Kluyveromyces lactis: one gene and its partner. Each later gene encodes a partner of the first gene's protein in a complex. Links are inferred from orthologs where the notes say so. Each region holds a gene or a part of one and is shown in the gene's direction. Other genes may lie near its edges.

Region 1 (4,318 bases):
TACAACATGAAAAGTCAAGGGTACCTCAAACAAGCAGTTACAGTAACGAATACATGTAGCGCAAATGATCTAGAACATTACTGCATATTTTCAACAGAAAAAAACGACGGTTCGAGACCTTCAAGCAGATCACAAAGTATTAAGAAGAGCATTACGTTCAAATTACGAGATTTCAAAGTATTCTTAAATGGACTTAATTGTTGGAAAACAAATGACATGATAAGAATCTGGTTTTGCCAACCTGGTGACCCCATTCTCTTTGAAATAACAAAAGATGGGGTTGTATTGGAATTAGTGCAGGTAACTGATACCGAGGGTAGGGTCGAAGAACCAGAGGATTCTGTCACCCAATTTAACCTGTCACCAGAAAAGATAGTTTCACCAATCAAGAAGGATACCGTAGTGAAACCAGATAAGCTTCAAAGGCCGGAAAGTAAGCAGATGCTGTATCCACATACAAAACGCTCACTATTTATAACGGATGAGGATGGAGCAGATGATGATGACGAAGACGAAGAAGGAAGGCAATTCAGGTTTAAAAGGTGGGGGAAACAAAATAGTAACACTACTCCCAATTCAAACACTGGCTCCCAGTCAACACCATCGAACACAACAACCGAGCCGTCAATTAGCGAGCCAGTAAAGAGAATGAGAACAACTGTCGAATGGGGAGGAACAATTGAATCGAACAATGTCGGTACAGATGAATCTCATCAAAGAGAAATGAACAAGGCTGCTTATCTAAATAATTTGAAAAGACAAGCAATCCAAGAAGATCTCAATCTACAGGAAGAAGATGATGGCATGGGTCCCACACAAGCTGACAGACCTAAAGGTTTGTTCGACTCTTGATAATAAAGAACGAAAGAAGTACTTTATTTTTCATTTCGAAATGAATTCATAAACTGTAATTGAACATATAGACATATAATATACAGTACGTAAATAAACTTAGCATTAAATCTTAGATAACAGACCTACACAGTAGTGTAATCTAAGCCATGGGAGAAAGAATGTTGTTTTGTCGGCAGGTTACATTTTCTCTTGCATCTAGGCTGTCTTGGCGACATTGGCGTCAGTAGCGTCAGCTTTCTTGCCACCTAGATAATGATGGTTTAAATATCTGTAACCTTGCACAAGTTGGGCTGTTTCATTCACAACGTGACAACCGAATAACAAGAAGTTCCTTGGGGTAACAGCTAGGGAATATCTCATAAACACACCAGAGTACATCACTAGAGCCAGCGTCATAGGTCCAGAAATCATCTCCGGATCCTTCTTCAAATCGTAGATGGCAGCAATTGGGATACCGAAGTTTGAAACTGGACCCCAGAAATGTGTGGTGAAGACATACTTTAAAGTTTCCTTGTTAATGTATTTGGAAATCAAAGATTGACTAGCAGCTCTCTGTACTGGTTGGGACATGATTCAGGGATTATAAACTGTTGCCGAAGTATAATTTACTGAGTTAATATTAACGTAAACCAAACTAAAAAAAGAAGGATAACAATGAATGAATGGGAAAACGAGAGGCCAACTAATAACTCAGATCGAGTACCAAGAAGTTCTTCAATGTACCTTTAAATCTTTTCTGAAAACATTTAAACATTTTTGTTGAGCTTTAAAAGTCTTCAAGGTTTCGAAGCTTGAAAAATTCACCGCTGCAATACGATTTTCACTGGTAAACCCGTTGGTGAGAGACTACCCACTGCACAGCTGATGGAAGTAAGAGGTATAAAACTACATACATGGAGGGGCCGCATAACCACCAACTTATAAGCCGACATATTGGGGGATAGATTTCTGATTACTCTCAGTGGTTAACTTGGTCAAAATCCGTCTCTCTTATGATTGGTAATAAGAAGACGTATATCAGTAAGGTCACGTGATATAGATGACACTGCGTAAAAGCTATAGCACCAGTGGAATGACTTGCGGGGACCCTTATGAGCCTGTTTGACTGTTACATATTTCAGAATATGTTTCACGGTTTACGAAGCATCAGTTACCGGTTTAAAACTTCAACACCTTTCTCCAGAACATTATGTATGTGAACGTAGGAAATTTCTTTTCATTATCTATTCATCTCATCTCATCTCATCTCATCTCATCTCTATCTGTTCAATTAATGAATATGATGGGAAGAAAGGCCCCAGGGAAGAGTATTCGAGCAACATGAATGGTCAAAACGTGTACAATAACTCTTCACAGGGCGGATCTGTGAATAATAATCTTTTGCAACATACGTTACAAACCACGCGAATGCAGTATTATCCGATACCTCAGATGAATCAACCCAACCAATACGGTGTCCCCGCTATGCAGCATGCACCAATGGGAATGAGATATGGGACCCACCATCCTTTCTATCCGAATCCGCACCAGTATCAACAGAGCTGGTATGGTTTTAATCAAGCGCAACCGCCATACGTGGATGTTACAAAATCAAGCAAGATCAATTATGATGATGAGGAAGAAGAAGAAGAGGAAGAGGTGATAGAGCACCAACAGTCAAATTTAGAGGCAAACGACAAAATCGAAGTACCCAAGAAGGGTCCTATCAAAAAGTTCGCCAATACCAATTTGAGGAATTCTGCTTTAGTTGAGAATAAAATAGCAAGTGATGAAGATGATAAAAGGAAAGAAGAAGAAGATGAAGAAGAAGAAGAAGCTTCTGCTGATGAAGATATCATAGAAACCGTCAAAGGATCAGATCTGTATATACCTGGAACTTCAATAGTGCTTAAAACGGAGGAGGATATCGCAAAATGGAAAGAAGAGAGAAGGAAGATGTGGTTAATAAAGATTTCAAATAAGAAAGAAATGTACAGAGAAAAGTTTAACGTCAAGGACGAAGACTTGAATCGTAATCCTCTCCAGGAGTCTAGAAAGGAGCGCTATTTTATTCAAAATATACAAAACCAAGTTAAAAGGTTTAATTATAAACCAAACTTGACGATAGGTCTTCATCAGAGAATCTTAAAAGAGGAAAACGGTAAGATCTTGGATTTCATCAAAGAACTTGGTGATGCCAATTATCTCAAATATGAACTTACAGAAGAAGAAAAAGAGGTGCTCTTTGGAGGCAAAGATCACAAGAATGACCAGAATAGACGCTCCAATAGGAGGTATGATAGGCAACTCAATCAACGTGATACTCAATACCGAAACCATTCAAGGAAAAGACCGATTGATGAGGTTTGAAAAAGGAAATCTTGCTTACTACTTTAACCCTTCCAATATAAAGTTAGTGACAGCTGAACCAATGAAAGTTCCTATTAAGATACCAGGGAAGAATTTATTCAATGCCTTTCCGTTATTATTGTCAGCAATATCAGCGTCATATTTTGCATCATCGTGGTACCGAGGTTTGTCAACTCGATATTTCATTTTGTGTCTTCCTTTAGAATGCCTCTTGCTCTTCCTCTTCTTATGTTTCTTCTTATCCTTGCTTTTAATACTCTCGTACTCTATATTGTGATTATCTGTATCGATCTTGGGGGAACTGACTTGTAGTATTCTCTGTGTACCATCAGTGCTCATGGCGGGCTCATCAATAAAAGTTGATTCATCTTGATTTGATAACATTCCATTATTTGAAGCAACCATTCTCAGTTGCATGAGTTGGATTACTGACCACTCCGGGAGTGTAGTTTTTAATCCGAATTGATGCCTATTCTAGTTCCTTTCCCTATTTTCACTTTATAAAGACCTTTTCTCTTCAAGTTTTCAAGCATTTATATGTTTCATTTGGGTTTCAGACATGAGGTATCACATATAATATAGATAATAACAAAATATATACTTTTGATATCTTCAATAAAGCATTCTAAAAAACTGTTATGAGAGTGTGGGTTGGAACATTCAATGATATTTATCAGCTGGGTGAACAATCCAAACTTATCCTTCGACAAAATTTGCAACAGTAGCTAAAACTCCCAAAGTACCAATGGAACCCAACATAAATCCTAATGAACCACTATATAAGTCAAATCTTCTCTTTCTACCAAATTTCTTCCCCTTAGCCTTATTCACCCTAAACGTCGACCACCTTGATCTGTTCCCTCTTCCTCTCTTATAGCGGCATTTGAAGTGATGGTGCTTCTTCTCTGGATCCATAAAAGTATGGTCATCATAGCCACTGTCGCTGTCGCTGTCACTGTTGATGTAAATGCATGCACGAGAGTGAGAGTTACCAGAAACAGACGACTCCTTGGACGAGCTCAGTGTACTGGGGTCAGAGGTTGGCTTGAGTGCTACCGTTGGCGCAGTATCATCTACCACAGCAACAACTTCATCCTCCTTGCCAATTTCAACT
Region 2 (3,523 bases), on another chromosome or scaffold:
AACATTAGGAATTTGTCAACAGAATCAGTTTTATAACAGAAAGCACATCATTTTAAGGATGAGATCATGAAAGCACAATAGTGGCTGTAATCAATTGTCCAAGACAGTAGAGCACTCTGTGAACACAGCAGGTTATTGGCTGCTACATAGAAAATCAGCTGAATTTTTGACATGACTACTGGTGCTCTGGTGGCAGGGCACGTCGATGGTGAAACGATGACTGTCACTGGTTCTTCGGATAATGCAAGGAGAGACAGAGACAGATGGCGGAATGGTAATATTTCCAGTCAGTTTGTGAACGAGTTTGGCGAGTGGGAAAAGGATGAGAATGTGACGCAGTGTCTAAGTTGTGGGATCAAGTTTAGTTTTCTAGTGAGGCGTCATCACTGTAGATGTTGTGGCAGAATTTATTGTGCTACTTGTTGTTCAAAATTCGCATGGTATGATAAAAACCGGGTTAAAGTGGTTTTGAAAAGTCCAGCAGAGTATGAAATGGAACCGTACAGGACTTGTGATTCCTGCTATGAAAATCTATTACAAATGAAGCTACTGAGAACTGCGTGGGGTGAAATACAGTTACCGAAACCACCAAGACGAATCGGAAATTCTATGGGATCTACTTCCGAAATCAACTCCATCCGATCATCGTCCATAAGGCCTTTTGAATTTATGAAGAACCAAAACGTTGTGGAAAATGTACGAGAAACTGAAAGCGAGAGAAATAGTCCCAGGAATATACATGCTGCTGATGAAGATTACGATCGATGTCCAATTTGTAATTTTGACTTACAAGTTTTCGGATCAGAAGAAGCAGCCCAACAAGAACATGTAAGCGAATGCATACGGCAAGCAGAACTTGCTCAACAGCAGCATAGTCTTATCGGAAGTCCAACTTACCAGAACAGAATGCTCGTATACCAAATACCTAAAAACGCTACGAATATTCAAGAGTGTCCAATATGTTTCGAAGAAATGGCTCCAGGACAAAAAGTCGGTAGGCTAGAGTGCCTATGTGTGTTTCATTATCACTGTATAAAGAGTTGGTTTAAGAAGAAGGTACAAAAATTAGCTACGGTGAATTCCGCAACTCAGGACTCTGTCTCCATGCTTGGTAAAAACTACTGTCCATTTCATGACGCAGTATACTACTAATGTGCTTTTTAAGCCGTTTAATATCCAATACTAATAACTACCTAATACATAATTTGCATACAGCACAAACTTGCATACAATATCACATATATATATACCTTCGCTTACTATAAAAGCCACTTGCAGTTACTTGTCCGTCATTATCTATCACTTGACCTAAAGAAAGTCAAAATGTCCCGAGTGTTCCAATTTCTTTGGTCCTTTTGGTTTGCCTGCCAGTTTACCACACTACCCTCCTCCACTCCTCCTTACTGGCCTGGCTGACTGCTTAGTAGACGAAAAGGATGGCGAAAGACATGTGGGAAACAGGATGGCAACACGACACATATGAGAAACAGATGCGAAACACATACTTAACGAAATGTAGCTTTGGGCTGAAAAGAAATTAAAAGAGACTCTTAAACTTCACGTATGCAATGTAATGTATGAGTGATGATGAGATGAGATGAGATTAAGAATAAAAAGATTGTGGGATAACAAGCTACTTTGGGAGACGTACAATACTATACCGTGTGAGGTAAACTAACTTTGTGTCATGGTTAAGTGTGAGGTTTGTGGTGATAAAGAAGCACTTTATAGATGTCCAAAATCATCGGTTAGGTATTGTTCGTTAGTTTGTTACAAGAACATAAAGAAGTCAGAATCAGATAATGTAGAAAGTAATAAGACTGATCCAGAATCTAACAGTACTACCGTGAAGGAAGCCGATGATACCGTCTCAGTTCCTGGATCTCAAACTGATTCAGTCGAGTCGGTGCCTACTCCGCTTAATAAATATCAATACGCTTTGACTGACAGCCGTATCCGTGAGTTGTTAAGACACAATACAGTTAAATTCCACTTGGATAAAGTTTACAAGATTCTTAACGTCAGTACTGTCGGCGGGTCATCGGATGCTTCCATGACTTCGGATATGAAGCGTGAACTTGCCACGGATTATCTCAATACATTAAGGACGGGTGGAATTCATTGTAATGAGGCAATTGAAGAGTTTTGTCAGATATTCTTAGAATTACTGCGAGAACATATCTAGATTTGTTCTTCTCACACGTAAATTGCATATGAGAACTTATGTAGTTCTTTATTTTTAATTTTAATATTAGCATCAATAGCACAATGCCACTGTTCTCAGTTATCGGTCAATCGGTCGACCGGAAAATGTTTATATTACATAGATGCATTCTAAAGATTAAAACAGTATATGCTCTTTGGGCTATTGCTTATCTGTTTATACTAACCTATCTATAACGTGCGCTAATGGTACTCATTCGGCAGTATTTTTGCGTTTGTATTTCTTTTCCAACCTGCAGTGGGAATTGATCTTTTAGTCAGTTCCTTCGTCGATATCGCTGTATAGATCGCTATCAAGGTCTTCAGGAACATCACTATAGTTGTCCTCGCTACTTGACTCTTCCGAATCAGATGAGTCAGAATCAGAATTATCTTGCCCTGATTCAGCTTCTTCTCCATCTTCGCCATTAGCCGCAGCCTCTTCTCTGGCCTTTCTTCTCTCCAGTTTCCTTTGCTTCTTTGCTTCTTTTGCAGCCTTCTTTTTGGCAATATTTTCTTCCTGTTCCTTCTTTCTTTGTTCCTTTAGTCTCATCTTTTGTGCATGTCTCTTTTCCAAAGCTTTGATTTCCGAGTCAGACTTTTTAACATACTCGTGATGTAGGACTTTACCGGCACAGATACCTTCTTCGATTTTAACCAGTTTCAACGTCAATCTTGGTCCGATTTCTGTTAGCTTGATAGCTTTCTTTTTTGGTTGTTGTGTTGAGTGCTGTTCTTCCTCTTCCTGTTCTTCTTTAACGTTAAGGTCCTCCTCTTCATCTTCATCATCCATTTCTATGTCGTCATCACCATCAGCAGATAGCCTGGCTGGTTTTTCACCGGTATCCTTATTTACTGAACGGTGTGGTATATGCTTAATGTGTTTGTGCTCTTTGTCCATTACTTTAACGATGGCATCTTCTTCAATCTCGGACTCAGAAGTGTATGCTGCAACGTCGTGATCCAGTATTAACGAAGCGATATCGTCCTTTCTATGCAAATTCGGCACGGCTTTGCTTAGCTTCTGTTTTGATTTATATAACTTCTTCAAATTCTTAGAAAGATCCACCTCTCTTATATCTATCGCATAATGTCTTAACGATATTTCACCTGTAGTCTGGTCTTTATTGATCATGAATACTCTGTTTATTGAGTTCAATTGAATTTTGGCTGGATTCAAAGGTGGGAAAACATTTTGAAACATGGAAACAATAACTTTTTCGACATTAGCCTTTTCCTCGTCTTCATTGCCCTTGATTTGGAACCCATTCAACACTAATAGAGGTGGATTCAAAATATCATCTTTACTCAAAGATTTAGG

What was found. Proteins that work in one complex are often made in the same cells at the same time.
Region 2: the proteins of RSA1 (region 1) and HIT1 are in contact, whole or in part, in an NMR structure (PDB 2MJF), measured with the Saccharomyces cerevisiae proteins. The link is inferred for Kluyveromyces lactis from reciprocal best matches to the Saccharomyces cerevisiae genes RSA1 and HIT1. Residues at the interface, in NP_015131.1 of Saccharomyces cerevisiae: Glu320, Asn321, Ser322, Gln323, Leu324, Leu325, Asp326, Phe327, Ile328, Arg329, Glu330, Leu331, Gly332, Asp333, Val334, Gly335, Leu336, Leu337, Glu338, Tyr339, Glu340, Leu341, Glu345, Leu349, Phe350; in NP_012589.1 of Saccharomyces cerevisiae: Asn71, Lys72, Thr73, Leu74, Lys75, Thr76, Phe79, Tyr83, Leu89, Leu93, Asn96, Thr97, Lys99, Phe100, His101, Leu102, Ala103, Val105, Tyr106, Leu109, Asp124, Lys127, Glu128, Ala130, Val131, Leu134, Asn135, Arg138, Phe151, Cys152.

Annotation. Positions count from the first base shown.
Region 1 is NC_006041.1:1,720,633-1,724,950, reverse strand, and holds RSA1 (Rsa1p), read left to right. Parts: upstream 1-2,175; coding exon 2,176-3,204; downstream 3,205-4,318. Other genes in the region: DDC1 (Ddc1p), read left to right, coding at 1-852; pyruvate transporter MPC1, read right to left, coding at 1,051-1,425; KLLA0_E19317g (uncharacterized protein), read right to left, coding at 3,223-3,621; KLLA0_E19295g (uncharacterized protein), read right to left, coding at 3,901-4,318. UniProt on the Saccharomyces cerevisiae protein: Involved in a late nucleoplasmic step of 60S ribosomal subunit assembly.
Region 2 is NC_006039.1:1,272,044-1,275,566, forward strand, and holds HIT1 (Hit1p), read left to right. Parts: upstream 1-1,687; coding exon 1,688-2,185; downstream 2,186-3,523. Other genes in the region: PIB1 (phosphatidylinositol-3-phosphate-binding ubiquitin-protein ligase), read left to right, coding at 172-1,152; KLLA0_C14586g (Brix domain-containing protein), read right to left, coding at 2,477-3,523.